Xenopus tropicalis: one gene and its partner. The protein of the gene in region 1 binds, or shares a complex with, the protein of each later gene. Links are inferred from orthologs where the notes say so. Each region holds a gene or a part of one and is shown on either strand. Other genes may lie near its edges.

Region 1 (16,293 bases):
TCTCCCATATCTTCCTTTCATGTGAATATAAAGCCTGACACTGTGCAGCCATCTTTCCAATGCAGCTGTCAGTCTGAAGGGTTGCCATGACCAGATTCTCAGCAGAGGAATCAAAAAGCTTCAAGAAGGGGTTGGATGGCTTTTTAGCAAGTGAGGGAATACAGAGTTATGGGAGATAGCTCTCAGTACAAGTGAGGGAATACAGGGGTAGGGGAGATAGCTCTCAGTACAAGTGAGGGAATACAGGGGTAGGGGAGATAGCTCTCAGTACAAGTGAGGGAATACAGGGGTAGGGGAGATAGCTCTCAGTACAAGTGAGGGAATACAGGGGTAGGGGAGATAGCTCTCAGTACAAGTGAGGGAATACAGGGTTATGGGAGATAGCTCTTAGTACAAGTGAGGGAATACAGGGGTAGGGGAGATAGCTCTCAGTACAAGTGAGGGAATACAGGGGTAGGGGAGATAGCTCTCAGTACAAGTGAGGGAATACAGGGTTATGGGAGATAGCTCTCAGTACAAGTGAGGGAATACAGGGTTATGGGAGATAGCTCTCAGTACAAGTGAGGGAATACAGGGGTAGGGGAGATAGCTCTTAGTACAAGTGAGGGAATACAGGGGTAGGGGAGATAGCTCTCAGTACAAGTGAGGGAATACAGGGGTAGGGGAGATAGCTCTCAGTACAAGTGAGGGAATACAGGGGTAGGGCAGATAGCTCTCAGTACAAGTGAGGGAATACAGGGGTATGGGAGATAGCTCTCAGTACAAGTGAGGGAATACAGGGGTATGGGAGATAGCTCTCAGTACAAGTGAGGGAATACAGGGGTAGGGGAGATAGCTCTCAGTACAAGTGAGGGAATACAGGGGTAGGGGAGATAGCTCTCAGTACAAGTGAGGGAATACAGGGGTAAGGGAGATAGCTCTCAGTACAAGTGAGGGAATACAGGGGTAGGGGAGATAGCTCTCAGTACAAGTGAGGGAATACAGGGGTAGGGGAGATAGCTCTCAGTACAAGTGAGGGAATACAGGGGTAGGGGGGATAGCTCTCAGTACAAGTGAGGGAATACAGGGGTAGGGGGGATAGCTCTTAGTACAAGTGAGGGAATACAGGGGTAGGGGAGATAACTCTCAGTACAAGTGAGGGAATACAGGGTTATGGGAGATAGCTCTTAGTACAAGTGAGGGAATACAGGGTTATGGGAGATAGCTCTTAGTACAAGTGAGGGAATACAGGGGTAGGGGAGATAGCTCTTAGTACAAGTGAGGGAATACAGGGGTAGGGGAGATAACTCTCAGTACAAGTGAGGGAATACAGGGGTATGGGAGATAGCTCTCAGTACAAGTGAGGGAATACAGGGGTAGGGGAGATAGCTCTCAGTACAAGTGAGGGAATACAGGGTTATGGGAGATAGCTCTCAGTACAAGTGAGGGAATACAGAGTTATGGGAGATAGCTCTCAGTACAAGTGAGGGAATACAGGGTTATGGGAGATAGCTCTCAGTACAAGTGAGGGAATACAGAGTTATGGGAGATAGCTCTCAGTACAAGTGAGGGAATACAGGGGTAGGGGAGATAGCTCTCAGTACAAGTGAGGGAATACAGGGTTATGGGAGATAGCTCTCAGTACAAGTGAGGGAATACAGAGTTATGGGAGATAGCTCTCAGTACAAGTGAGGGAATACAGGGGTAGGGGAGATAGCTCTCAGTACAAGTGAGGGAATACAGGGTTATGGGAGATAGCTCTTAGTACAAGTGAGGGAATACAGGGGTAGGGGAGATAGCTCTTAGTACAAGTGAGGGAATACAGGGGTAGGGGAGATAACTCTCAGTACAAGTGAGGGAATACAGGGGTAGGGGAGATAGCTCTCAGTACAAGTGAGGGAATACAGGGGTATGGGAGATAGCTCTCAGTACCAGTGAGGGAATACAGGGGTATGGGAGATAGCTCTTAGTACAAGTGAGGGAATACAGGGTTATGGGAGATAGCTCTCAGTACAAGTGAGGGAATACAGGGGTAGGGGAGATAGCTCTCAGTACAAGTGAGGGAATACAGGGTTATGGGAGATAGCTCTCAGTACAAGTGAGGGAATACAGGGGTAGGGGAGATAGCTCTCAGTACAAGTGAGGGAATACAGGGGTAGGGGAGATAGCTCTCAGTACAAGTGAGGGAATACAGGGGTAGGGGAGATAGCTCTCAGTACAAGTGAGGGAATACAGGGGTATGGGAGATAGCTCTCAGTACAAGTGAGGGAATACAGGGGTAGGGGAGATAGCTCTCAGTACAAGTGAGGGAATACAGGGGTAGGGGAGATAGCTCTCAGTACAAGTGAGGGAATACAGGGGTATGGGAGATAGCTCTCAGTACAAGTGAGGGAATACAGGGGTATGGGAGATAGCTCTCAGTACAAGTGAGGGAATACAGGGGTAGGGGAGATAGCTCTCAGTACAAGTGAGGGAATACAGGGGTAAGGGAGATAGCTCTCAGTACAAGTGAGGGAATACAGGGGTAGGGGGGATAGCTCTCAGTACAAGTGAGGGAATACAGGGGTATGGGAGATAGCTCTCAGTACAAGTGAGGGAATACAAGGTTATGGGAGATAGCTCTCAGTACAAGTGAGGGAATACAGGGGTAGGGGAGATAGCTCTCAGTACAAGTGAGGGAATACAGGGGTAGGGGAGATAGCTCTCAGTACTAGTTGATCCAGGGTCCGGTCCGATTGCCATCTTGGAGTCAGGAAGGAATTTTTTCCCCTCTGCGGCACATTAGAGAGGCTTCAGGTGGGGTTTTGCCTTCCTCTGGATCAACTAGCAGTTAGGCAGGTTATATATAGGCATTATGGTTCAACTTGATGGACGTGTGTCTTTTTTTTCAACCTTACTATGTTTTCACAGAGCTGGGATCTTTGACTTCTGTTATTACCCACAATTTATTTTGCCGACAGCAGGAATTGTTTGTAAACTCGCTTTATGGATTGACTAATGTAATGTAATCAGACGGAGCTGAGCTTGAAGACACTTACTTTGTACCTAGGTACGAGAGCAAAATAGCCACATTAAAGGGAAACTCCAGCTTCTGAACCAAAATTTGTTAGAGCCCCATGCAACACAGAAACCCCTAATATACCTATCCCTGTAATCTGTTCCTTCAAAAAGTAGGAATAAATACCATTGTTATATGCTGAAATCCAGCTGCAAAACAGTTCTTCTCCTACATTATTTGAAATCCTGGCAGGGGAGGAGGGACTAAAGCACTGATGTTACAAATTGTAACAACTTCTTCACAGATTACAGACAGCATGCGAATCTACACAACTCACAATGCATTGAACGGTGATCTTCCTTTCATTATTGACATCACGTGTGCAGGGAATTGTGGGATTGGGAGGAGGCAGGCTGAAGGCAGGCTGAGGACAGCCGACTACTGTTACATTTTATTTGAGTCTCAAAGTAGTCAGATCAGCAGGGGAACAGGGGGTGGGGCTTAGGCATATTTTTAACTGATGTATATTGCAAAGAAAGCTTTAGTTGCTTTGGATGGAGTTCCCCTTTAAATTGTCTCTAATATTGGAGAAGTGGGTGGGGTAAGAATTTCCTTACTCAAATTTTTTTTTTTTTTTTTTTGGTAGATAGGCATGTATCACTTCATTCCGATTGTATGGGTTAAACAGAGGTTACTTCTGAATCCCAGCTCATTGCTTTCTGCACATTTCTTCTCATGTCTATGTAAACAAATGGGGAAAAGTTATCAAAAATAGAGTCTTGTTGAAATGTGTATTTGGTATTATTTATACTTAATAAAGGAGGTGCCATGCTGCTTGCTCTACCAAAATACAAAATCAAAAGAAAAGTGCGCTTCCTGGTGGCCGTGTGTAAAAGGAATAAACATTTGGCAGAACCCAAAACACCTGACATGTAAGAGATGGCAGGAAAAGCAAGTGCAGTCTGCAGCCAGAGCCGATTCAGACACTAGTACCAGGGGAATGATAAAAAATGGCACAAAGACAAGCAAATGAAGAGAGAGAAACCGTAGACGCTTGGCTGAAATATAATTACTTCTGTGGAGGTGACGGGAGTTAGAAGATACAAAGCTTTTTACATGTTAACAAGGTGGCACCGAGAAGCCAATAATAAACAGTTGTAGGATGAACATGAAGCCTCTTCTTCTCTTCAGAAATGCATTTTTTTTAATGGGGAGCAGAAATGGAATGATCTGTTGGCTCCCCAGTGTTGTATTATCCCTGCACTGGGGAACTGATCTCGAGGCTGTATATTCCGTTAGCTCATCCTAATGGAGACAGATACAGAATGTAAGTGCAAATAACACAGGGTTTGTTATCCTTGTCCTTTGGCTCAGGAAGCAGCACTTTGTGAGGAAGGATCCAATCCTGCAGGCAAATCAACAATAAGGGGTGCACAGTCATCAGGCTCCTCTTCAAAATCCCACTGGAATTTCTTGGTTAGATGAGCCCTGAACCGAATTGCTTTCTTCCTGAGAGCTGGATTGGCAGTGGGGGAACACAGAAAGGAGAAGAGAACCTGTGGAAACAAGAGGAGATCTTTGTAACAACATTCAGGGAGTAAAAGCCCAGAAAAAATGGACAGTAAAAATGTATCAGTATGAGTAGTGTCTGTGAGCAGGGCCGGGAGTTGTAGCCCAAAAACATCAGAAATAGCACAGGTTACCCGATCTTTTTATAGACTGCAAATGACTAAATTATGACTTCCAGTTAAAATACAAGCTATGAGGTATAAACTGAACATTCCTGTCCCACACAGAAGAATGTAGATTGTAAAAAAGTGTGAAGTACCTGCAGAGTACTGGTAAGGAAATTGCTCTGGGATACAATGTCAACAAAGAAGTCAGTGGGTACTTGTGCCAGCTGGTGGTATAGGACTGATATAGTTTCCATGTACAGTTCTGGGTGCTGCAGGGAGAAATTCTCTGCCCGGCACAAAAGGTTCAGTATTTTCTTCCACTGCTCAAATGCTTCATACACATTCCCAAGTACAAAGCAGACAAAGGAGAACTGCAGCTCAGCTGGAAGGGAAAGAGTTAAAGTCAAGATAAGTAAGGTAAGTCCCTACTGGGCAAAACCCACCTCCCACCTGTACTACTATGCCACTATGCACATAAACAGGGTTAAAGTAGAAAGCAGTTGGACTTACCAAGCAGCTCCAAGGGTTGCCCTGGGTAGTGTGTATTCAGCAACTGCCCCAGGGCATAGGAAAGGTCCAAGCTGTGCTGGGTGATCTCAGTAGGGGTGGCATTATCAGGGTACGTCTTGTCAGGAATCAGGCTAAACCGAATCTCTGTTCCCTCTTTCTGCTTCATTTGGGGCAGCCTGGCCATGCCCTCCTTATAGCTTTGGCACACACTGTCATATCTGGGAAGAGAACAAACCTTGTAAAGCACTGCCTATATCTGTGGCGCTATAGCAATACAGTACAAAGCCAATGCTATATTTTATGGAGAATAGTAAACATATGTAAAAACAAATTAAAAGTTGGTATATAGCAGGCAGCCAAGTGCCACAGACCTAATGTTTGGATAAAAAAAATAATAAAGTTTCTTTATTCTAAAACATACAAATGCCTATACCCAGTCTGCATACATTCCCACAAATACACACTATAATAGGCACACCATTTCTAATAGGACACTTATCAAATTGGTAAATTCCCACCCTCCTGACAGCGCTGTTAGTTCCCCCTGGCTTTTCCCATACCTGGGCAGATTATGTTGGACTCGGTCGGCAGTGTGGGTCATGGGTTCCGTAGGAAGGACCTCAGGAAAGGAGAAGATGGTGCCACATTTCGGCTGTAGCCTGAACATGGACTCTTTCTTGATGTGATTACTGAGCGACACCCAGCGACGCATGCTCTGATAAGGATATGGCCCCAGGAAGGAATCTAAGGATTGAAGCTCCTCCCTTAGTTTTTCGGCTTCTTCTTGAGGGGCTACGACCATCTCTTCCTCCTGGGGGTCCCAGCGGAAAAGACGCAGCTCTCTCTGTTGCAAATAGAGGAACATGCTGCTGCGCGGGCTCATGTCTCCAAGGCCCCCTCCTTTACCAACCACGTTGTAGTGCATGAAATGAACACCCGGGGGCACCATTTTTACACCTCTAAATCGAGGTCCCACTTGCCAGCTATTATAGTCTATGCCAAATTCAGAGCCTTCTGGTACCCCCAATATCACCAGGGTTGCACCTTCAAAGAACAGCTGCCGGGCAAGTTCAGGATCCATGTCTGTTGAAGGGGTGTCCATCTCTATAAAAGGAAGTTGTTAAAGGTTATTCATTAATTGGTTTTCTAACGCTTTGTATTCTCAAACATTACCAGTTTATCTTTGGGGGGTATATAGACATGTTTTAGGGTTATGGACACAGGGCACGGTGGCTGTCCCAGCAACAGGGACACAGAGTCCTGGGACACAGGGAACCCACTTCCTGTTACACTCCCCAGAAACAATGCTGTTTTGCCTAAACATGCTCATACTGGGAGGGAGCTCCCAGTGAGGGTGGCCATGTTTGGTGACATGCAATAACTGAATCTCCTGCCTCGCTCATTATACCTATGCCTGTGACATCACACTCCTGTGCATAAATTAGAGAGCTGGGATTCTACAGCTTAGGGTCCCAACATGGCCATCAATATAGAGGGGGGGGGGCAAGTGGTGGGTGTTGAGTAAAGTTTGTCTAAAGTTGATGATTTCAGAGCAGGCAAGGATTCCTATATAGAGCTTTCTGCTCCCCCAGAGTTTCCCTTCTTCTCTTGCCTCTGCTCAGTAATATGCAGAACCACCCCCAACCCTTTCTCTGGCTTTAGGGCTCATACTCACAAGTGGTTTTGCTTGTGAGTCACAGATACAGGGACAGCAGAACCCAGAGTGACAGATACAGGGACAGCAGATCCCCAGAGTGACAGATACAGGGACAGCAGATCCCCAGAGTGACAGATACAGGGACAGCAGATCCCCAGAGTGACAGATACAGGGACAGCAGATCCCCCACAGAGTCACAGATACAGGGACAGCAGATCCCCCACAGAGTCACAGATACAGGGACAGCAGATCCCCCACAGAGTCACAGATACAGGGACAGCAGATCCCCAGAGTGACAGATACAGGGCCAGCAGATCCCCAGAGTGACAGATACAGGGACAGCAGATCCCCAGAGTCACAGATACAGGGACAGCAGATCCCCAGAGTGACAGATACAGGGACAGCAGATCCCCAGAGTGACAGATACAGGGACAGCAGATCCCCAGAGAGTGACAGATACAGGGACAGCAGATCCCCAGAGTGACAGATACAGGGACAGCAGATCCCCCGTTAGACAGGGAGGAAGGACACACTAGTTGCCAGACTGATACCCCTGACACAATAAACCCACCCTCACTACATACCTTTAGTACTGTAACAGCCTGTAGGCAGAACAGCTCACATTCGTACCCGGAAGCAGAAAAGCTTTCCCTGTGCAGCACAATAGCCCTCCCCCTGGAAACCCGACCCTATGAAATAATGGTTCCTATAGTTAACTGTCCGCAACATTTCCAAATCCCTGTGTTCTGGAACATTATAGAGCCTGAGCGCCTCAGACTGAGAGGCACAACTAGAAGGGAAGCAGTAAGCACTGCTGTAAAGGTCGAATTGTTCTAATAAAAACACAGTTCCAGGGGGACACCGGCACTGAAGGGTTAATACCACCTTCTGGGGGGGGGGGGGGGAACTGGAACTTATGGGAGGAGGACACAACTCCCCTTCAGGGAGTTTTCTATTTATTTTACTTTATTTTATTTGACTTTTTATTGTTTATATTGCATCTCTCCTTTTCCTTACAGGAGATCTTGGGCAGGAATCATGGTTCAGCCCCCAGACATGTATGGAGCTCTAGAGAAGGGCAGGAGCTCTGGTTAAGTCCCTTCAGCAACTGGGGGAAGGGGAGCTGCTCACCCCCCCCCCCTCACTTCACGCAGGTTGCAGGTTCCCCCTATGGACTGGGACCCTGGGGCTACTGCTGGCAGAGATAGCCAGCATCCTTGGGCTACATGGGCAGGATTTGGTGCTCCGCTGCTGTATGTGGTTTGGCAGCGCAGGAGGGTGGGAGCTAGTGATGTGTCGGTCAAGAAATCCTCGACTCGAACTTGCCCACTCCCAACCCTAACCTGCCCACTCCCAACCCTAACCTTCCCAACCCTAACCTGCCCACTCCCAACCCTAACCTGCCCACTCCCAACCCTAACCTGCCCACTCCCAGCCCTAACCTGCTCACTCCCAGCCCTAACCTGCCCACTTCCAACCCTAACCCTGCCCGACCCGGCTTCTTCCCTCTGTAGACCCGCACCTGCCCCACATGTGCCTATAAATTAGAGAGCCGGAAGAGGAAGCCGGCAGTGTAAGGTCACAGGTGGGGAAGGTGAGTGCAACCCACAATTGATGTGCCAAGGTTTGGCCGAACCCACCAGGAATCCTATTACCACACAGGTTTCTTTTCTTGATTGCACCCAGTGTTGCGCTAGACTTCGGTCTCCATTCCTGAGCCTCCCTGGGTACGCAAGCTAGCTCATTCACTGGCCTCCTTGCAGGGTCTTGACAGACTCCCTAGATAAACTGTTTGCTTCCCAGTCTCCTACAGGTTTTTTGGGCAAGCGCAAACCCCCAGCCATTTCTATTCTTCCAGACTCTGGCAAGGAGTCGTAACTTGCTAAGGAAGGTCAATTCTCAGAGGGCTTATCTGATGAAGACTCCCCTCAGAGAGCCAATGAGGTTCCTAATTGAGGCCATCTCAATGTGTCTGCCCCTAGCTCTGCAGACCCCCCCAAGGATCTCTTCAAGCAACAGAAGAAGACCTCTAGAGTCTTCCCCTGACACGACCAACTCAGTCATCAAGGACGAATGGGCCTTTCCAGATAACAAGAAGTCAGATGCCCTACTCACCATCCCTGTAGGCTCCCACAGGGGTTAACGGTTTTCCAAGAACACCCTTGCCAGGTGGATCAGAGGCACTATTATCAGAGCCTATCCGATTTGGGGCAAGCCCTGAGTCAGAGTCACAGCTCACTCTACCAGAGCCCTGGCCACTTCATGGGCAGCTAAGAACCTTGCCTCTGTTGAGCAAATTTGCAAGGCTGCCACCTGGTCTTCTATTCACAGCTTTACATGGTTTTACCAGGTGCACGTAGCAGCTTCAGCGGATGCTGCCTTCGACAGAAAGGTGCTGCAGGCATCAGTACAGGCTCAGACATGATTCCCAATCCCACCCTAAATCTATTTTGGGACTGCTCTTGAAAACGTCCCCTCAGTGCCTGTGTCCCCCTGAAAAGAAAGAGAAAGTAGGTTCTTTATCTTACCTGTAAAATCTTTTTCTCACTTGATTGATAGGAGGACACAGGCATGCCCTTCCCTGCATAGTCTTCCTGCCTGTCAAACGACTTGATGGAATGTGTCTCATGCCTCAGCAGTCTCCCTTGGTCCTTCTTGGTGGGAGTCTTCCCCACCTCTGCCTGTGCGAAGGCACAGTTTCTCAGCCCTTGGCCCATAGATATAGTTCCTATAGTTCTACTTAAGTTATTTTTTACTGTTTTTTGTACGTTCTGGGCAGTTCCAGCCCCCACAGAGGGTGTAGCCTGCTGGGAGGGCTGCCAGCATTTGTTCTTTTAGTGTCCATTTTAGTTAACCCTTCATTGCCTGTGCCCCCCTTTCAATGAAGAGAGAAGATAAAAATCCTTCTTTCCTGTAATGCTGTGTTAAAAAGTGTTTGTTTTATTCCATTGTGATGGTAGTAGTAGATCAAAATCAGTAAAGATGCGGGTCTCAAAAACTGGTTCTGTGCAGAACTCTACCTGCTAGTTATGCATGCCGTTGATCTCCCAGTTTCATTAGTTTTGGAGTTGGAATCTCTGTGGAAGTCATCCTGTTTTGGCTTCCCCCTTCCCCCCTCTCTTGGTTGCTGTAACAGCCCAGTCACCCTGAATTACAGGTGACCCCTGCCATTGAAATGCCACTGAATTACCGCAGCATTCAGCAGAGTTGGGGTATGTCAGGGCTTGTCCAAGACATACCTAAATACAAAAGTACTAGGTTGGCATTTCTGCAGCTGGCAGGTTCTAAAAGGAAAGGTTGCCTGGGTGTTTTCTGCTGGCAGAACACTCATTGTGCTACAGGCCTTTAGTGATTCTGTCAACATAATTAACCCCCTTTTTTATATCAAAGCATGGGGATCACAGATAACTGGTTAATAGCCAAGGCTATATTTGGGTCCGTTGCTACCTTGATCAGCTCATGGTCCTGGTATGCTGCAAATGTTCTGATTGCTGAAGATCCCTTACCCTTCTGCATGGCTGCCGGATTTAGCCAAAAGTATCTGGTGGTGGGCTGGGGAGATATATTTTTTAGCATTACTTTATTTACCATATAGGCACTTGTTCATCCCTACATCTCTGGCCATATCTACTGTATAGGCACCAGTGGGCCCCTGCCTACAGTGCCAGCTTTAGGGGTGAGGTCCACAGGTACCTATATGGTAAATACAAAATTATTTTGCCTACTGCTGTATACTTGCTGTTGGACCATATAGGTACCCATGGGTCCCCCTATAAATCTGTTGCCCAAGGCAAGGGCTCTTTGAGACCATATGGTTAGTTCAACCCAGGTCAACCCAGGTTTATTTTTTCCATGGTGCTGTTTTTGCAGGGTCGGACTGGGGGGGGTGCAGGGCCCACCGGGGTACATTTCAAAATGAGGCGAAAGAATGGAGACCAGTACAAAAAAAAGTCACACCAAGTTTGTTTTTATTGGCTATAGAGCAGTGACATCACGGAGCACAGGGTGGAGGGGAGTCAAGGGAGAGCACAGCATTGCATTAGGTCAGGCCTCCCCCTGTGCGACGTTAACCCTTTCACACATACACAGCTCAGCCAATCCCCAGCTAGCAGGGACATCTCCAGGCTTGGAAGCTGACAACCAACAGGCTAATACAGCAGCGTTTTCTACTTGCAAGGAGTTGGGAAAAAAAAAAAAAAAAAGAATTTGTTCTGACCTTTGCAGTACGGAAGCTCAGTTACCAGTTTAATAGTTACATAGTACATAGTTATATTCACTTACTGCCCTCAGCAGCGGGTTAGATATGTTCTCGGACACACAGAATATTCAGGATTTAAAGGAACACTACAACTCGAACATATTCATCAATCTCCTTTTTACTTTACGGTGCTCCTAGCTGCAATGGATTTTGCCGGGATCTGCCAAGCTAAGATTTAGACCACAAACCAGACTAACAGTGGGAGTCAGACATGAAACACAAGGTTGCTTGCCTGGAGCTTCTATGCTGTGACCCCCCCACAGGAGCAGTTCTGGGTCACTGAGAGACAAGACATTTCTGAAAATTCACCAGATCTGCTCCCATATTGTGCACTGACTGTTTAGTTACAGCAAAAAATGATATCCATTTACAGCACCCACCATGAAAGCTAATCCTAGGAGCCCACTTACTGAAACACCGACTCCCTTTTTTCTACTTCTTTCTCTTCCCTCACTGCCTCTACTCCTCCAGCCTCTCTCATTTTCTCTCCCCTACTGTTCCCCCTCCAGCCTCTCAAGTTCCATATACCCTATTATGCCCCAGCTTCTTTTTGCTTTCTCTCTTCTTCTCTGCCACTCCATCCCCCCTGCTTCTCTTTCTCATTCTGTCTCCTATACTCTTCTCTCTACACCTAATGATCTACTTTCCTGCCCACTTCTCTTTTTACCCTTCTTTTAGCCTGTATGCTTTCCTGTTTTATTCTTCTCGTCTTACATTTTCCTTTTTGTTTATCCAGCAATCAGAGCCCTCTGGACCTATTTTTTACTCTGTTTAAATATTGCAAGACCCCTGTTTGTTATAAATGAATGTAAAGCGCTGTGTAACTTGCTGGCGCAATATGAAGAAATGATTACTATGTCATCTCACCATTCTTATTCTTCCTCATCATATTTTATTTAAATTTTAACTCCTATCATCCCCCTGAAAGCCAAAGTTCTCTGCCTGAACCACAACCAAGTTGTGGACCCACCCTTCTTTCATTGTCATTTGCCTTCTCTTCTCTTATCTTACTCCTCCTCACCCCCCTGGTGAGCATGGTATGCTGTGATTGGGCGGCATTACTGTTCATTTATGCTGACATGCCAGTTGCTCCTTTCCAGTGCTTGCAAATATCTTATCTTCCTTATATTGCATTTGCTTCTCAACTCTTAAATTAAGAACACCCTTGACGAACAAACTAGTGCTCCTCTCAGCCATTATTGTCATTTCAGATTAGGACAGATGTTATTTAAGACTTGGACCCATGAGATCTGCAAGATTTAAATGTCTTTTCTAAAACTGATGCAGAATGTATGAAAATGTCTGGTTGTTTAATTATTATTAAATTATATATACTTACATAGGCTGGCAGTAAATTAGGGATATACTGTTGCATTTTAGGAGGAGTCAGGAAGGGATACTTTGTCCCTCGGTGGGGTAACAGTTAGTGTTTTGCATTCTCTTTGACCAATAATCACACTGGGGGTTGAAATTTGTCTTTTTCATTCTAAATAACTATGTACCAAGTAAGCAATTCATTTTATCTTAACTGTACCAAATCAATAATATCAGTTATGCAGCATTTAAAATCAATCAAAAAGAGTTTGACCCACTGAGTGCAGATTATCAGAAGATGATTTGATAGTGCCGGACTTCTAGCTAATTTGTTCTCCTGGATGCAAATGATCAGGCTCAGACCGTGCTGCGTTTCTATCTAATGCAGAGTGATCTCCAGGCTGAAGATTATCAGGGCAGGCTCAGAGCGTGCTAGGCTTCTATCTATTGCAGAGAGGTATCCTGATTAATCCGTAGATTAACCCCCTTCTAGGCTGAAGAGCCAAGAGCATCAAGGAATTGATTCTTTGAAGGTCTCTAGCAATCCGGAGCAATAGTTCCTTAGTAGTGCAGATAAAAAGAACCCTGTAGATGTTGCATGCAGTCCCGTAGTGCCACACATGCTTCTTAGGATGATTGGCCAAGGGGAAGGGGAGAAGGGAAGGTGTATTATTGCCCTCAGCACTCAGTTAGGGAATCTGCTCCTGGGAGGGTGGCAAGTCTCTCTCATTCTCTCTGTAAGGGGCACTGTCAGCGTGGTCTTAGTTGCCCCTTGCCGGATGTGGTGGTTTTTGCAGCTGGCATGGTGTGTAAAGAGGAAATTAAGGGAGGGAGAGGGTGTCCTTATTTTCAGAGGTGAATAACAAAGAGAAGTGGCCATGGGAAGATTTTCACATCCAAAATCCGACGTCAAGATTTCTAAAGTGGGGGGGAAAGACATACAGTATCACTAGCAAAACTACAGTCAGTACATAATATATAAACACACAGCACAGGTCACGACTATTGAAGGTGGCACCTCTCCATGCACGAGCATGCTCACTAACCTCAACGCTCTCTCCAGGCTCCTCAGGGGAGGGTTCTGTCTCACAATACACAACAGCCTTGGTGACCATCATGTCTGGGTGCTGAAGTTTGGCCTCTTTTATGGCCAGTGCAAGGGCCTTCCGGGGGAAGGAAAAGAAAGTATATTTCTTGGTTATTAATGCAATTTTGGGCCCTGTACCTGTACAGACCCGGTCTGGCAATCTGTGGGTTCTGGCAAATGCCAGAGGGGCTGCTGTAAGATGCCATAGACGGTCACTATTTATTGGGCTGGGGGGGGCTGTTTGGGCCTCTGTGTACTTGGAATGCCATTAATTTAATTCTAACTAATGAAAGCTGATATCTTAATTGTGGCCATCATAAACCCACCCTTTTCAGCAGGGTATGTAACAGCAAAACATTTAGGCACCTAGATACTTAATAGCATGTTTCAGACCTGGACTGGCAATCTGTGTATTCTGGCAAATGCCAGAGGGGCTGCTGTAAGATGCCATAGTATCTATTTATTGGGCTGGGGGGGCTGTTTGGGTCTCTGGGTACTTGGAATGCCAGGACCCAGGCCCAGACTGGCAATCTGTGGGTTCAGGCAAATGCCAGAGAGGCTGCTGTAAGATGCCATAGACACTCACTAATTATTGGGCTGGGGGGGCTGTTTGGCCTCTGGGTACTTGGAATGCCAGGACCCAGGCCCAGACTGGCAATCTGTGGGTTCAGGCAAATGTCAGAGGGGCTGCTGTAAGATGCCATAGACACTCACTAATTATTGGGCTGGGGGGCTGTTTGGCCTCTGGGTACTTGGAATGCCAGGACCCAGGCCCAGACTGGCAATCTGTGGGTTCAGGCAAATGCCAGAGGGGCTGCTGTAAGGTGCCATAGACAGTCACTATTTATTGGGCTGGGGGGGGCTGTTTGGGCCTCTGGGTACTTGGAATGCCAGGACCCAGGCCCAGACTGGCAATCTGTGGGTTCAGGCAAATGCCAGAAGGGCTGCTGTAAGATGCCATAGACAGTCACTATTTATTGGGCTGGGGGGGCTGTTTGGACCTCTGGGTACTTGGAATGCCAGGACCCAGGCCCAGCCTGGCAATCTGTGGGTTCAGGCAAATGCCAGAGGGGCTGCTGTAAGATGCCATAGACAGTCACTATTTATTGGGCTGGGGGGGCTGTTTGGACCTCTGGGTACTTGGAATGCCAGGACCCAGGCCCAGCCTGGCAATCTGTGGGTTCAGGCAAATGCCAGAGGGGCTGCTGTAAGATGCCATAGACAGTCACTATTTATTGGGCTGGGGGGGGCTGTTTGGGCCTCTGGGTACTTGGAATGCCAGGGCCTATTTTGAAGCCCAGTCCAAACCTGTATTTGTATAATCTTAAATTGCATGTAATAAGCAAACCTACTAGTGGTATAGCATTAAAAACTATCATAGCTAAAAACTAGTTCATATTGGTAGTTAGGCAGGTGGAGCTTTATTACAGTATCCCAGCTTCCCTTGGTAGCTCATATAGTGGAACGACATGGTCTTGTCAATTCTGCAGTTCCATATGGCATCTCTTCTGATGCAGAATTACAACTACTGTATATATACAGTGGAGGAAATAATTATTTGACCCCTCACTGATTTTGTAAGTTTGTCCAATGACAAAGAAATGAAAAGTCTCAGAACAGTATCATTTCAATGGTAGGTTTATTTTAACAGTGGCAGATAGCACATCAAAAGGAAAATCGAAAAAATAACTTTAAATAAAAGATAGCAACTGATTTGCATTTCATTGAGTGAAATAAGTTTTTGAACCCTCTAACAAAAAAAGACTTAATACTTAGTGGAAAAACCCTTGATTGCAAGCACAGAGGCCAAACGTTTCTTGTAATTGATGACCAAGTTTGCGCACATTTTAGGAGGAATGTTGGTCCCACTCCTCTTTGCAGATCATCTCTAAATCCCTAAGGTTTCTGTCTCTGTGCAACTCTGAGCTTGAGCTCCCTCCATAGGTTTTCTATTGGATTAAGGTCCGGAGACTGACTAGGCCACTCCATGACCTTAATGTGCTTCTTCTTGAGCCACTCCTTTGTTGCCTTTGCTGTATGTTTTGGGTCATTGTCGTGCTGGAACACCCATCCACGACCCATTTTCAGTTTCCTGGCAGAGGGAAGGAGGTTGTCGTTCAGGATTTCACGATACATGGCTCCGTCCATTTTCCCGTTAATGCGAATAAGTTGTCCTGTGCCCTTAGCAGAAAAACACCCCCAAAGCAAAATGTTTCCACCCCCATGCTTGACGGTGGGGACGGTGTTTTGGGGGTCATAGGCAGCATTTTTCTTCCTCCAAACACACCGAGTTGAGTTAATGCCAAAGAGCTCTATTTTGGTCTCATCAGACCACAGCACCTTCTCCCAGTCACTCACAGAATCATTCAGGTGTTCATTGGCAAACTTCAGACGGGCCTGCACATGTGCCTTCTTGAGCAGGGGGACCTTGCGAGCCCTGCAGGATTTTAATCCATTGCGGTGTAATGTGTTTCCAATGGTTTTCTTGGTGACTGTGGTCCCTGCTAATTTGAGGTCATTAACTAACTCCTCCCGTGTAGTTCTAGGATGCTTTTTCACCTTTCTCAGAATCATTGACACCCCACGAGGTGAGATCTTGCGTGGAGCCCCAGAGCGAGGTTGATTGATGGTCATTTTGTGCTCCTTCCATTTTCGAACAATCGCACCAACAGTTGTCACCTTCTCTCCCAGCTTCTTGCTAATGGTTTTGTAGCCCATTCCAGCCTTGTGCAGGTCTACAATTTTGTCTCTGACATCCTTGGACAGCTCTTTGGTCTTTCCCATGTTGGAGAGTTTGGAGTCTGCTTGATTGAT
Region 2 (16,212 bases), on another chromosome or scaffold:
AGTTTCTGGGTCAGAACCAAGCCCCGCCCCCTGCCTGATCATGGCGAGGGAGAGAAGCCAAGACACAGGGTCTGCACCCCTGTAAGTACTCACGGAAGAGTGGGGGCGCAGCATACGCAAATTGGCTCAGCTCTCCTCCATTCATCTGTCTAGTAATTGTAAATATTCCTACATAAAGAAAAGGGAAAGCAAGGGAGATCCAGTGGGGAAAGAAATGTTTAGAAAATATAACAGCCAATGAATTGAGCCACTGGGACGGAATAAAAAAAATAAAATGGATTGTGTGGGTCACTAAGAACAAGCCCTCATCTTCTGTAGGCCAGAAAAATATAGCTGTATTATATTAAGGGACAGAGTACTTAGCACAAAGTATATATCAATGCTGTTATATATTTATTTTATTTCTCTCTTTACAGGATGCAAGCAAACTTAGCCGGCTGTTCCTGCTGAATTGTGCTTAGTACAGGGGAATCCCTATTCTGCCATAGTTTTATGGTATCTCTCTGTACAGGCTATGAACAAACTTAGGGGGCTGTTCCTGCTGAATTGTGCTTAGTACAGGGGAATCCCTATGCTGCCATAGTTTTATGGTATCTCTCTGTACAGGCTATGAACAAACTTAGGGGGCTGTTCCTGCTGAATTGTGCTTAGTACAGGGGAATCCCTATGTGCCATAGTTTTATGGGATCTCTCTGTACAGGCTATGAGCAAACTCAGGGGGCTGTTCCTGCTGAATTGTGCTTAGTACAGGGGAATCCCTATGCTGCCATAGTTTTATGGTGTCTCTCTGTACAGGCTATGAGCAAACTTAGGGGGCTGTTCCTGCTGAATTGTGCTTAGTACAGGGGAATCCCTATGTGCCATAGTTTTATGGTATCTCTCTGTACAGGCTATGAGCAAACTTAGGGGGCTGTTCCTGCTGAATTGTGCTTAGTACAGGGGAATCCCTATATGCCATAGTTTTATGTCATCTCTCTGTACAGGCTATGAGCAAACTTAGGGGGCTGTTCCTGCTGAATTGTGCTTAGTACAGGGGAATCCCTATGCTGCCATAGTTTTATGGTATGTCTCTGTACAGGCTATGAGCAAACTAGAGGCAAAAATCTAGGCAAAATCTAAAATTGAAAGTACAGTCACATTCTACCTCCTGTTCCCTACGTTATGTTTTTATTGTGCGCTTACTAAACAGGAAGTGGAATTTGAATTTTACTCCCCATTTATGATTTTGCCCTGCTTAGTGCATGAAATAACAAGCAAAGAAATGAAAATATAGAACCTATTATGAAATAAAAGCAAAAGGGGAAATAAAGATACATTTCGTCCAATGGGATAACAGCAAACGTGGGTGTATTTACCCATTATTCGGACTCTATAGAAGGTTAATCTCACATACCCAGCCCCGGTTGGTAAATATACCGCTTAGCCTGACACGGCATAGAGACCAATAAGAGAAATAAAATATTTTTATTACAAACAGCTGAAGCCCTGCAATAAATCTGTGTAAGGATCACACACACACGTACAGACCAGATTAGCATGAGTGTGCACTCCGGGAGGCTTCTCTCGCTCACAAACGGCACTCAGGGGGATATACCAGCACACACAATGGTCTCTTCCATGTGTCAGTGTCCCACAGGGGAAGTCCATAGAGTCCATCACAGTGGAAGAGGCGGGGCAGCGAGAGTGCCGGGACCAATCACATGTAAAGCTCAAAGTCTATTCTCTGTGAGTTGTAGAACTGACTCCCGGAGCCGCTCACTCGCCGGCAATAAACTCCCTCGGCGAAGTAGCCCTGATCCACCCATTCCTGCAACAGAGAAGCAGCGGATATTATGGCTTTTCATTGAAACAGCACCGACATGGCTACCCACCCAGAGATTATTCTTGGGCAACCCAGAGGGTCCTTTTTTCAACCACTGGCATGCTATGTGTCTATGGCTTTACAGGGGGTGATTTTATTTAGAAATTGTGTGGTATCACAAAACAATAAATGGTATTACAGGTATGGGATCCCTTATCCAGAAAGCCGTTATCCAGAAAGCTTCAAATTACGGAAAGCCCGTTTCCCATAGACTCCATTTTAATCAAATAATTCAGAATTTTAAAACCAATTTTCTTTTTCTCTGTATTAATAAAACAGTACCTGTACTTGATCCCAACTAAGATATAATTACCCCTTATTGGGGCAGAACAGCCCTATTGGGTTTATTTAATGGTTAAATGATTCCCTTTTCTCTGTAATAATAAAACAGTACCTGTACTTGATCCCAACTAAGATATAATTACCCCTTATTGGGGGCAGAACAGTCCTATTGGGTTTATTTAATGGTTAAATGATTCCCTTTTCTCTGTAATAATAAAACAGTACCTGTACTTAATCCCAACTAAGATATAATTACCCCTTATTGGGGGCAGAACAGCCCTATTGGGTTTATTTCATGGTTAAATGATTCCCTTTTCTCTGTAATAATAAAACAGTACCTGTACTTGATCCCAACTAAGATATAATTACCCCTTATTGGGGGCAGAACAGCCCTATTGGGTACTGGCTTCTAATTACAGCGAAAAAAGGAAATCAATTTTAAAAATTAGAATTATTTGCTTATAATAGAGTCTATGGGAGATGGCCTTTCTGTAATTCGGAACTTTCTGGATAACGGGTTTCCGGATAAGGGATCCCATACCTGTACTTATGACAATAATGCTGGACTAATTAAAAAGCTGGTGTTAAAATACTGGGCTGTTCTGAAATCGGACCCAAAGTTGGGTAAATTGTTCAGTAATCCACAGATGTTCTCGTATGAAAAAAGGAAAGACAATGGGGGAATCGGTAAAGTTGAGCCTAAATAATATATAAAAAATACAGTGAAGTATGTGAAAAGGGAGGTACATATCCATGCACCAACTGTAGCCAGGGTCAGACTAGGGGGTGCAGGGGCCAACGGGGCTCCTAGTGCTCCTAGAGGTGCCCCTGCAATCCACGTCCCCTAACCCCCTGCAGGGTCCCCCACCAGACGTCCTCCCCAATCATGCGTAAGGTTAAATCGTCAGGGGAGTAACGGTCGGGCAGGGGGAGCGCCGGCATGGGCCGCTGGGGCCCACTGGGATTTTTCCCAGTGTCCCCGCCAGCCCAGTCCAGCCCTGACTGTAGCCATTGCAATGGTATGATCTGTGGGGATAACGTAATACATCCACATAATAGTTCAAAATTACCAATAAAAGGAACTATTAACTGTAATAGTAAAAATGTGGTCTATTACATGAAATACCCCCATTAGTGTCGGACTGGCCCACCAGGATACCAGGAAAACTCCCGGTGGGCCCAGGTGTCAGTGGGTCCTCCTGCTCCTGACCATTTGGCCTGTTTCATGGTCATTCCCTATTTCTGAATGGGAAGGAAGAGTAGAAATAGATGGAAGAATAGATGCTAGCATGTAAATAAAAGAGACTAGGAGAATAAAGAGGTTGGGTGAGGAAAGGAGGAAAAATAGTTTGTAGGGTGGGCCTAGGGTCTAAGGTTTTCTGGTGGGCCCCTGGGTTCCCAGTCTGATGCTGGCCCCTGTGGATTGGTTTACGTTGGGCAGAGAAGTCACGCAGTGCGCGTGCGATTGAATGGGGATAAATTCAGGATTATAAACCCCTCAGAGAATTGGTTACAAAGCTAGGGAAAGACAGAAAGGAAACAGCTTTAGCTGAACATTTTTTGGAATCTGGCCATCAGATCTCGCAACTTAGACGGCAAATATTGGAGCAGGTAAAAGTGAGGGAGGGGCAGGATATAAAGAGAATTTTACTACCAAAGGAATGCTACTGGATATGGGCTTGAAAAACGAAGTATCCTCAAGGGTTAAACAAGGATTGTAACATGTCTCGCTATTTATAATAATTTCTAATTATGTTTTTCTGCACATATAAACGATAAAGAATTTTTGTTAGTAGTTCATTTTCTAGAGTTACTTTGGTAGGTGATTTACTTTACTTATGGACTTCAAAAATGTTTTTACTTATGGACTTTTCAAAAATGTTTGTTTATAAACTTTTTTTTGGGCTACTGCTACTGCTACTGCTACTACCGGTCACTGTGGAATTTCAGGTCTTTGTATTTTTATATAATTAATTATGTAATTATTTATGCTATTATGTATTTAACTGTCTCTATTGCACTGGTTGGTATGCCTCATGAAGGGTTAGGCCCCCAAAAAGTTGCTGCACTTCGAATAAATGCCATCATTCCCTAGCCCATCCCATTCACCCACTACAAGATAGGAAACTGAAGCGAGCAGAGAGGTGGGAGAAAATAACACACAAACAGTCGGTGATGCACCTTTATTGTCCCACCTACCTACAGAGAAGCCACTTACCTGCATCTGTGTGCTGGAGAAGGGCCCATACAGCTCTGCTCCGTCCTTGTTCTCCCATTTGTACTCCCACATCACTGCATCCGACGACTGGGACTCTAAAAAGAAAAGAAAGGGGGTGATGCCACGGGCTGGCCTATGTTATTTCCCAGCACAATAATCAGTGGTACCGGCCCTTACCCGCCTTCTTCTCCAGTGTTTTCTCCTCCACCTCATCAGCAAACATGTCCAGCTCGGCAGGTGGAGCCAAGGTCTTGAGCCTGTACGCCACCTTCTCATATGTGTCCTGGTAGATCTCATACACACCAAGGGCTACCATCTGATCTGCTAGGGATATGAGGAGCTCGAGGGGCTCTGGCCTACTTTCTGCCTCGTTACTTGCTTCCTCCGACCCCGCAGCCACTCTGCTCTGTGCAGTTTCCTCTTGGCCATTATCCCGCACCCTGTCTCTTAGGGACTCCTGACCTTGCTCATCCTTTCTCTCTTGCCTTGAATCCGTTTCACCTTTACCCTCATCCATTTTAGAATCTGTATTATCTTCCTGCTCTCTGTCTCCGTCAGACTTAGTCCCTCTCTTCTTTCTCCTGCCTTGGGGGGTCTTCTGCTGCCTTGCTCTCTGGCCCCCAGTTGCCTTTTTGCCTCCTGTCCCTCCAAGACGCTGGATTCCTTTAGCCACAGTCTCGCCAGGCTGAAGCAGCTGCAAGATTCCCTCCAGTAGCACTTTCTTGCTCAGTGGTGCTCTGCCTTCCTCAGAATCAGAGTCATCATCATCAGCGGTTTCTGTGGGTGCAGTGCGTTCCTTAACTCGGACCTAGGGCAAGAGGATAGGGGTTACTGCTGGTTACTGGGTGCCATTGGTCACGGGCGCACATGTTTAGGTATAAGCAGAAGGGTCCATGTGTGCTGCTTTCATCTTAAAGTGCTTCTTCCCCTACAATATACAATGATCTCTTCTCATCCTGACTGCCCCAGCATCCTCCTCCTATCCTGTCTGGCCAATCACATGAAGAGGTGCCAGTTTCCCTTGGCCAATGCCACTGGTGGGGTGCAAGAACAGATCTGAACATGACGGGATGCTTAGGGCGTCATGAAGAGAAGCGACAGCCTTAAATCTAAAAAGTTGGGAAGCATCTAGGGATGCACCGAATCCACTATTTTGGGTTCAGTCGAACCCCAAAAGTCTCTGTAAATGATTTGGCCAAATACTGAACTGAATCCTTATTTGCATGTGCAAATTAAGCTACGGAACAGTTAAATGAAGCGCGCGCTTAATTTTTTACTTCTGTGTTCATGTGATTTTACAGATTCTGCAGAATCTTGCCTGAATCCCAAACTGAATACTGGGTTCAGTGCATTCCAAGAGGCATCTAATGTGACTGTGTTCATACAGTGCCCAACTTGATTCTTGGATTGTAATCACCCTGTTCCACCTGAAGGGACTCAAATTCTGCTATTACGTTTCATGTTCTCCCAATTCATATTCACTCACCCAGTCTATATTATCAAGCCAGTGGTCCCGAATCTGAGCTTCTTTACGCAAAAAATAGTTGCCCTCAGAGTCAAAATGCCCTTCCTCCATTTCCTCCTTCAGGTTAAAAGGAGTAATCGGAACACCACCCTCCGACTCCAGAGTAGCGTTTTCTTGTCCTGCAGAGGAAGAAGAGCAAAGACAAATTTAAGACAAATTTAAGTCAAATTTAAGGGGCTGTTCCTGCTGAATTGTGCTTAGTACAGGGGAATCCCTATGCTGCTATAGTTTTATGGTATCTCTCTGTACTGGCTATGAGCAAACTTAGGGGGCTGTTCCTGCTGAATTGTGCTTAGTACAGGGGAATCCCTATGCTGCCATAGTTTTATGGCATCTCTCTGTACAGGCTATGAGCAAACTTAGGGGGCTGTTCCTGCTGAATTGTGCTTAGTACAGGGGAATCCCTATGCTGCCATAGTTTTATGGCATCTCTCTGTACAGGCTATGAGCAAACTTAGGGGGCTGTTCCTGCTGAATTGTGCTTAGTACAGGGGAATCCCTATGCTGCCATAGTTTTATGGTATCTCTCTGTACAGGCTATGAGCAAACTTAGGGGGCTGTTCCTGCTGAATTGTGCTTAGTACAGGGGAATCCCTATGCTGCCATAGTTTTATGGTATCTGTCAGCATAACATTTGCTTTGCTCATAGCCTGTACAAAGACTTTACTATAATATCCAGTATGAAGTAGTCCGCAAAATGGCCATGATCTTCTTTTGTAGATGACTGCCCCAAGCCACCCCCAGCTGATGGGTACTTACTGCAGCAGACACCCTGATATGACTTTAGGTGACTGGGAGTGGAGAGCCCATTGTGCCCAAGTTATGCTGAGCTGGAGGAAGTGCCATCTTTTGATAGGTTGCAGTAGAGTTTAAAATTGCAGTTCAGCCTATGGAATTACTGGCCTGCCTCCAGCTCAGCATAAGCAAAGCAAGCAGCACTGCTCCTGCAGCTCACTCCCTCATCATTACTGTGGGTACCAATACACTAGGGTGGCCTGGGGGCAACTTATGCATAGGATGTTTCAGTACCAGGTATCTTTAGCTACCCTCTCCCAAACATCCTTATATTATGCGTCCGCTTGTTTCTTGTAAAGGGGTTTATAATACTACAAGAGGCACAAAGCGGGCACCCTGCTATGGAATCTCACCTTCAACATCCTCGGGGGCTAATATGTCATACTTTGCAGAACGTCCATCACTGGTTTCTTCCTCATCATCTTCCTCATCGCTGTCCAGAGAATGTTTCCCTTTAAATCGACTTCCTGGGCCTCCCACTACATCCGGGAGCTTCAATAAAGGGGTGAGACCGTGTCAGACATGCACATTGGCTAATGCAGACCGTCTATATAATGGCGTCTTTATAAAGGTTACTGGGATCAGTTTGGAAAAAGAAAAGCGACATGGTGCAATTCGGCTCTGCTTCTTAACTTACCCTTTTTTTTTTCTGCTCATCATCGTCGTCTTCAGCCCCATCCACAAATGTGACCTTCCTTTTAGACATCCTATAGAAAAGGCAACAGGCACTATTAATAGGGATGCATTAAATACAGGATTTGGCCAGTGCCTGGCCAAACCGAATCCCTAAAGTCACATGACTTTTCATCGCATGATAGCGGAAAGGAGGAGTTCTCTTTAGCCCCTTTGTACCAGGATTCAGCGAATCTTTCACAAAAGAATTCAGGGTTCAACTGAATCCCAAAACAGTGGAGTCGGTGCATCCCTATGAAAGACTACAGGTATTGGACCTCTTATCTGGAAACCCATTAGAACAGAACAATCCTATTGGGTTTATTTAATGGTTAAATGATTCCCTTTTCTCTGTAATAATAAAACAGTACCTGTACTTGATCCCAACTAAGATATAATTACCCCTTATTGGGGGCAGAACAGCCCTATTGGGTTTATTTAATGGTTAAATGATTCCCTTTTCTCTGTAATAATAAAACAGTACCTGTACTTGATCCCAACTAAGATATAATTACCCCTTATTGGGGGCAGAACAGCCCTATTGGGTTTATTTCATGGTTAAATGATTCCTTTTTCTCTGTAATAATAAAACAGTACCTGTACTTGATCCCAACTAAGATATAATTACCCCTTATTGGGGCAGAACAGCCCTATTGGGTTTATTTAATGGTTAAATGATTCCCTTTTCTCTGTAATAATAAAACAGTACCTGTACTTGATCCCAACTAAGATATAATTACCCCTTATTGGGGCAGAACAGCCCTATTGGGTTTATGTCATGGTTAAATGATTCCCTTTTCTCTGTAATAATAAAACAGTACCTGTACTTGATCCCAACTAAGATATAATTACCCCTTATTGGGTTAAGAGACCCTGTGAGTAGAAGGGAACTTGTATACAAAATAAAGGGGGGGAAAGTCTAAAACCAGGAAAATGCAAGAAAACCGCTCGGTGTGAGGAAACATGAGGGGAAGAGAGATCCCTGCAGGTTCCTCAGTATAACCCTGTTTATAACATAAATAACGGAGAGGGGATTCGTATCAAACAGGCCCCGCCCCCAGGGCCGACCTGCCGTAAATAAGGGCCGGTGTTTTGCAACTTTAAAGGCCTCACAAGTTCCCAGATCCCCTTAGTTCTAGCGCAGCTCGGTAAGTATCCAACAAACCTTTCGTTTTTCGGAAGCACTCGTCGAGACGCGGGTGTCGCAGCCGGATGACGCGCAGGAAGTGATGAAGTCAAACCGGAAGTAGGGCAAATGAAGTTGTATCGCTTTGAAATATGACTGTATAGCTGCTGCAGGTCACAAAGTAGTCGTCTTGCAGGGGATGCTGGGACTTGTAGTTGTCACTGGTGCATCCCACTGACTTATTAATGCACAATTTAAGTTAAAGCACCAGTAATAACATTAAAAAATAATTGTCATTTATTGCCACTGGTTATTAAAATGGGATTGGGTTACAGGGCTTTTTCCTGATAGTTATAGGTTTTATAACCAGAGAGAGGTCATTTAGCCAGGAATGGAAGGGCCCCAGGAGAGAAAGTAAATACATTGTTGGTCGCTTTTATCAATGAATCAGACATGGTTACATACCTCCCAACATTTTGAAACTGAAAACAGGGACAAAAATAAACGCTGCGTGCAACCACACCCCCTAAATACCACTCCCATTTGACTAAATTTACTTATTACATTTGTTATTTATTATTATTATTAACATTTATTTATAAAGCGCCAACATATCCCGCAGCGCTGTACAATAAGTGGGTTTCATACATTGGGCATACAGAGTAACATATAAAGCAATCAGTAACCGATACAGGAGGGGAAGGGAGCCCTGCCCAAAAGAGCTTACAATCTACAAGGAGTAACATATAAAGCAATCAGTAACCGATACAGGAGGGGAAGAGGGCCCTGCCCAAAAGAGCTTACAATCTACAAGGAGTAACATATAAAGCAATCAGTAACCGATACAGGAGGGGAAGAGGGCCCTGCCCAAAAGAGCTTACAATCTACAAGGAGTAACATATAAAGCAATCAACCGATACAAGAGGGGAAGAGAGCCCTGCCCAAAAGAGCTTACAATCTACAAGGAGTAACATATAAAGCAATCAATAACCGATACAAGAGGGGAAGGGAGCCCTGCCCAAAAGAGCTTACACTCTACAAGGAGTAACATATAAAGCAATCAATAACCAATACAGGAGGGGAAGAGGGCCCTGCCCAAAAGAGCTTACACTCTACAAGGAGTAACATATAAAGCAATCAATAACCGATACAAGAGGTGAAGGGAGCCCTGCCCAAAAGAGCTTACACTCTACAAGGAGTAACATATAAAGCAATCAATAACCAATACAGGAGGGGAAGGGAGCCCTGCCCAAAAGAGCTTACAATCTACAAGGAGTAACATATACAGTGGTGTGAAAAACTATTTGCCCCCTTCCTGATTTCTTATTCTTTTGCATGTTTGTCACACAATATGTTTCTGATCATCAAACACATTTAACTATTAGTCAAAGATAACACAAGTAAACACAAAATGCAGTTTTTAAATGAGGGTTTTTATTATTTAGGGAGAAAAAAAATCCAAACCTCCATGGCCCTGTGTGAAAAAGTAATTGCCCCCTGAACCTAATAACTGGTTGGGCCACCCTTAGCAGCAATAACTGCAATCAAGCGTTTGCGATAACTTGCAACGAGTCTTTTACAGCGCTCTGGAGGAATTTTGGCCCACTCATCTTTGCAGAATTGTTGTAATTCAGCTTTATTTGAGGGTTTTCTAGCATGAACCGCCTTTTTAAGGTCATGCCACAACATCTCAATAGGATTCAGGTCAGGACTTTGACTAGGCCACTCCAAAGTCTTCATTTTGTTTTTCTTCAGCCATTCAGAGGTGGATTTGCTGGTGTGTTTTGGGTCATTGTCCTGCTGCAGCACCCAAGATCGCTTCAGCTTGAGTTGACGAACAGATGGCCGGACATTCTCCTTCAGGATTTTTTGGTAGACAGTAGAATTCATGGTTCCATCTATCACAGCAAGCCTTCCAGGTCCTGAAGAAGCAAAACAACCCCAGACCATCACACTACCACCACCATATTTTACTGTTGGTATGATGTTCTTTTTCTGAAATGCTGTGTTACTTTTACGCCAGATGTAACGGGACACGCACCTTCCAAAAAGTTCAACTTTTGTCTCGTCTGTCCACAAGATATTGATCTTGGCAATCATTGAGATGTTTTTTAGCAAAATTGAGACGAGCCATAATGTTCTTTTTGCTTAAAAGTGGTTTGCGCCTTGGAAATCTGCCATGCAGGCCGTTTTTACCCAGTCTCTTTCTTATGGTGGAGTCGTGAACACTGACCTTAATTGAGGCAAGTGAGGCCTGCAGTTCTTTAGATGTTGTCCTGGGGTCTTTTGTGGCCTCTCGGATTAGTTGTCTCTGCGCTCTTGGGGTAATTTTGGTCGGCCGGCCACTCCTGGGAAGGTTCACCACTGTTCCATGTTTTTGCCATTTGTGGATAATGGCTCTCACTGTGGTTCGCTGGAGTCCCAAAGCTTTAGAAATGGCTTTATAACCTTTACCAGACTGATAGATCTCAATTACTTTTGTTCTCATTTGTTCCTGAATTTCTTTGGATCTTGGCATGATGTCTAGCTTTTGAGGTGCTTTTGGTCTACTTCTCTGTGTCAGGTACCTCCTATTTAAGTGATTTCTTGATTGAAACAGGTGTGGCAGTAATCAGGCCTGGGGGTGACTACAGAAATTGATATTGAAATTGAAAATTGAAATTGATAAACCACAGTTAAGTTATTTTTTAACAAGGGGGGCAATCACTTTTTCACACAGGGCCATGTAGATTTGGAGTTTTTTTTCTCCCTTAATAACGTAAACCTTCATTTAAAAACTGCATTTTGTGTTCAATTATGTTATCTTTGACTAATAGTTAACGGTTTTTGATGAGCAGAAACATTTAAGTGTGACAAACATGCAAAAGAATAAGAAATCAGGAAGGGGGCAAATAGTTTTTCACACCACTGTAAAGCAATCAATAACCGATACAGGAGGGGAAGAGGGCCCTGCCCAAAAGAGCTTACACTCTACAAGGAGTAACATATAAAGCAATCAATAACCGATACAGGAGGGGAAGAGGGCCCTGCCCAAAAGAGCTTACAATCTACAAGGAGTAACATATAAAGCAATCAATAACCAATACAGGAGGGGAAGAGGGCCCTGCCCAAAAGAGCTTACAATCTACAAGGAGTAACATATAAAGCAATCAATAACCGATACAAGAGGTGAAGAGAGCCCTGCCCAAAAGAGCTTACAATCTACAAGGAGTAACATATAAAGCAATCAATAACCGATACAAGAGGTGAAGAGGGCCCTGCCCAAAAGAGCTTACACTCTACAAGGAGTAACATATAAAGCAATCAATAACCGATACAGGAGGGGAAGAGAGCCCTGCCCAAAAGAGCTTACAATCTACAAGGAGTAACATATAAAGCAATCAATAACCGATACAGGAGGGGAAGAGAGCCCTGCCCAAAAGAGCTTACAATCTACAAGGAGTAACATATAAAGCAATCAATAACCGATACAAGAGGTGAAGAGAGCCCTGCCCAAAAGAGCTTACAATCTACAAGGAGTAACATATAAAGCAATCAGTAACCGATACAAGAGGTGAAGAGAGCCCTGCCCAAAAGAGCTTACAATCTACAAGGAGTAACATATAAAGCAATCAATAACCGATACAAGAGGGGAAGAGAGCCCTGCCCAAAAGAGCTTACAATCTACAAGGAGTAACATATAAAGCAATCAATAACCGATACAAGAGGGGAAGAGAGCCCTGCCCAAAAGAGCTTACAATCTACAAGATAGTTAAAGTTTGAACACATTTCTGGGGGGTTTTGGGGGGCCTGTTTTATGTGTTATTACAGTTTTGCTGAAAAAGGTGAAATTTTCGAGTCTGAAAGTTTCGAGTCTCAGTTTTAATTAAATTTGTATATTTTTAGCTTCAGTGCAGGAGATCAAAGGGAAATGAGGGACTTTTCAGTAAGAATCCGGGACTGCGGGTTGAGCTGTCAAAAGAGGGACTGTCCCGCAAAAATCAGGACAGTTGGGAGGTATGTTATATATATATCAGTAAATATTGCCCTTTTTCATCCTTTCCCTTGAGCCGCCATTTTGTGATGGGCTGTGTGCTCCCTCAGAGATCAGCTGACAGGAAGTGATGCAGCTCTAACTGTAACAGGAAGTAGTGTGGGAGTAAAAGGCAGAACTCTGTCCATTCATTGGCTGATGGGGCCTAGCATGTATGTGTGCCTTCTTGTGTGCACTGTGACTCCTATGATCCCAGGGGGCGGCCCTAAGTACTTAAAATGGCAGTTTTCTATTTAGGATTACCCAATGGCACATACTATTAAATAAGTCTATTTTCTATGAAAATGGTTTATTTAGTTAGGTTTACATATGAGCTGTTTATGCAATATATTTTTATAGAGACCTACATTGCTTGGGGGTATAGTTTTCCTTTAAATCATGCCTTCCCTTGCAAGGGAATGCATGAAATGTGAATGTCACGCTCATGTAAGGGCCCTTAGGGGCATATTCCTTTGTACGAGACCCTGCTTGTATGCAGGCAAATGCAGTGTGTAGTTATGTGAGAGACATGCAGGGAGGAGAGCTGGAGAAGTTAGAGCGGTGTGTATGGGCACGGTGTGTGTGTATGGGCACGGTGTGTGTATGGGCACGGTGTGTGTGTATGGGCACGGTGTGTGTGTATGGGCACGGTGTGTGTGTATGGGCACGGTGTGTGTGTATGGGCACGGTGTGTGTGTATGGGCACGGTGTGTGTGTATGGGCACGGTGTGTGTATGGGCACGGTGTGTGTGTATGGGCACGGTGTGTGTGTATGGGCACGGTGTGTGTATGGGCACGGTGTGTGTGTATGGGATCGGTGTGTGTGTGTATGGGCACGGTGTGTGTATGGGCACGGTGTGTGTGTATGGGCACGGTGTGTGGTGTATGGGCACGGTGTGTGTATGGGCACGGTGTGTGTATGGGATCGGTGTGTGTGTATGGGCACGGTGTGTGTGTATGGGCACGGTGTGTGTGTATGGGCACGGTGTGTGTGTATGGGCACGGTGTGTGTGTATGGGCACGGTGTGTGTATGGGCACGGTGTGTGTGTATGGGCACGGTGTGTGTGTATGGGCACGGTGTGTGTATGGGCACGGTGTGTGTGTATGGGATTGGTGTGAGTGTGTATGGGCACGGTGTGTGTATGGGCACGGTGTGTGTGTATGGGCACGGTGTGTGTGTATGGGCACGGTGTGTGTGTATGGGATCGGTGTGTGTGTATGGGCACGGTGTGTGCATGGGCACGGTGTGTGTGTATGGGCACGGTGTGTGTGTATGGGCACGGTGTGTGTGTATGGGCACGGTGTGTGTGTATGGGCATGGTGTGTGTGTATGGGATCGGTGTGTGTGTATGGGCATGGTGTGTGCATGGGCACGGTGTGTGTGTATGGGCACGGTGTGTGTGTATGGGCACGGTGTGTGTGTATGGGATCGGTGTGTGTGTATGGGATCGGTGTGTGTGTATGGGCACGGTGTGTGTGTATGGGCACGGTGTGTGTGTATGGGCACGGTGTGTGTGTATGGGATCGGTGTGTGTGTATGGGCACGGTGTGTGTGTATGGGATCGGTGTGTGTGTATGGGCACGGTGTGTGTGTATGGGCACGGTGTGTGCGGTGTGTGTGTGAACTGGGAGTGGCTATTACAGTAATGGGTGTGAGAAGTGTAAAGCAGGAAGTGTAAAACACAGTAAAAGGTGTAAAACAGCAACGATAGTGCAGTCTCTGTGTTGTCCTGTTATCTCATACATTGTAGAGTAATCAAATGAATTTGTTATTGCCAAAAATGACTATTGGTTATGAGTCCCAGAAACTGAGCCACTTTAGCCTTTGTGATCATTAATGTTCCAAACTGAGAGAATGAAATGTGAGTACATTAATGCAATCCTGCCCCACTGGGACTACAAAGGCCAGAATGCCTTGCTTCTCCCGGCCGGCCAGCAGGTGTGTGCAGCACAGGTGAGCTGCCGAGCGAGAGGGACAGTCACACTCAGTGAGACACACCCCTTGGAGAGGTCAGTAACAGTGAAACTAAACAGGGGAAGTAGGAGAAGAAGGAGAAAAAGCACCCAAGAGACCAGCCACAGAAAGTAAGTGTGGGACACAGAGACTGATTTAATGTCAGCGAGACAGCAGCCAGGCAGACAAGTGACAGGCACATAAAGGCAGTTGCACAAACAGAAAGTCAGTTGTGCCAGCCATATGGAGAGAGATTACAGTGACTGCGAGACAGTGCCATTGAGTGCCTGAGAGGCAGTTACAGGGGCAGAGCGGCACTTACAGGAATAGAGAGACAATCATAGTGATCATTGAGACAAGAGACAATCAGTGAAGCAGAGGCAATTAAAGGGAAAGAGACAGTAACAGAGTGTGAGCCTGTGAGGTTTCCATTTGCTTCAGTAAGAGACTGTCACTGCCCTCCCATCTGTAGCACAGGGACTGGCTGAATAGCAAGGTGACAGCTCTGCTCTGATATGGCAGAAGTGAGACAGACTGTATGGCAGGATGTATGTCTCACTTCCCCTTCATCCCACACACACACACACCCACTGGGGCCCATTTTATAACTGTCTCTTGCCTTTTAACGCCCACGTCTTCCATTCCCATGGCACACAGTCTCCCAGATGCCAAATAATAGAATCCCCAAACAATGGGCACAGCCACCTTAACGGGCATGTAAAGCCCACGTCTCCCCCACCCAAATGGCATCATTTGTACTGCATATATCCCCTCCCTTTGCCGGCACCATCACATTTTCCTAAATCAAATAGCAGCTTTTGCCCAGCGCCCATTTTCCCTCAGTGACATTTCCATCTGCAAACACCACATGTGCACTGTAAAGTTCATGCAGTGCAGAATGCAGGCTTACACAGGCAGAACTTTCTTTGATTAAATGTCATGCTTGGATTGAGCCCTGTAATGGTTAAGCTAAGCTCAGGAGAGGAGGTTAGAAGAAAAAAATAGGAGTAGACTGCTAGAGCAGAGTTTCAATGGAAACCAGTAATCTAATCTATTTATTGGCTGCTAGACTGGAGGGCGTGTTTAGTAATCTGAGCTGAGAAGAACTGAGCATGCCCAGTAGCCAACAGCCAAAGTAAATCCCTGAGGGAGGGGGTTGAGTGAGTTACAGGAGGAGAAGGAAATCTAAGTGATTAAGTGGATGCTGCAGCCTTAAGGTGGCCATACGCGGGCCGATTGTAGCTGCCAATATTGGTCCCGTGTAGGGGCAGTAACAACGGACCTGCCTGACCAACATCTGGGCTAAAATCGGGCCGATATTAGAAAATTAGAATTTTGAAAATGTTAAATAGGCATTAAAAAATCTTTTCCCGATTTTTAACCCCCTCCGATCATAATCAGCATATGTTACTTAGGATTCGGGATTTGGCCCAATCCTGCTGGGTGGGTTCGGGGGTTCAGCCAAACCCAAAAAAGTGGGTTCGGTGCATCCCTACTATTAACCTTTGAATAACCAGAGTGGTAGGTATTAAAAGATTTCAAAGAGGCTGTTCACTGATTACATTTTTGTGTAAATGGGGGGTTACATGTCCCTTAGGGGGCAGAATGCAGAGGAGGGGAAGGTTGGATAGCAGAAAGGGACAGCCAGACAGTGCATTTCCATGTAACTCTAAACCCATTGCAAACAAATGTATTTTGGAAAGTTAGGTCAGGGGTTGGGTGGAGTTTCCCTTTACGGGGTTTAAAGGATCAGTAAAGAGACTTAT

The links.
Region 2: aar2 (region 1) and cd2bp2 share a complex: the UniProt entries of both Homo sapiens proteins name them as parts of the U5 snRNP complex. The link is inferred for Xenopus tropicalis from reciprocal best matches to the Homo sapiens genes AAR2 and CD2BP2.

The regions. Positions count from the first base shown.
Region 1 is NC_030686.2:39,752,514-39,768,806, forward strand, and holds aar2 (protein AAR2 homolog), read right to left. Parts: upstream 7,448-16,293; 5' UTR 7,405-7,447; intron 6,268-7,404; 5' UTR 6,266-6,267; coding exon 5,724-6,265; intron 5,382-5,723; coding exon 5,164-5,381; intron 5,036-5,163; coding exon 4,806-5,035; intron 4,534-4,805; coding exon 4,348-4,533; 3' UTR 4,027-4,347; downstream 1-4,026. Other genes in the region: epb41l1 (band 4.1-like protein 1), read right to left, coding at 13,302-13,310, 13,439-13,555. UniProt on the Homo sapiens protein: Component of the U5 snRNP complex that is required for spliceosome assembly and for pre-mRNA splicing.
Region 2 is NC_030685.2:13,546,025-13,562,236, forward strand, and holds cd2bp2 (CD2 antigen cytoplasmic tail-binding protein 2), read right to left. Parts: upstream 8,568-16,212; 5' UTR 8,519-8,567; intron 8,503-8,518; exon of another isoform or gene 8,422-8,502; intron 7,389-8,421; 5' UTR 7,388-7,388; coding exon 7,319-7,387; intron 7,174-7,318; coding exon 7,035-7,173; intron 6,006-7,034; coding exon 5,848-6,005; intron 5,170-5,847; coding exon 4,539-5,169; intron 4,457-4,538; coding exon 4,362-4,456; intron 1,808-4,361; coding exon 1,697-1,807; 3' UTR 381-1,696; downstream 1-380. UniProt on the Homo sapiens protein: Involved in pre-mRNA splicing as component of the U5 snRNP complex that is involved in spliceosome assembly.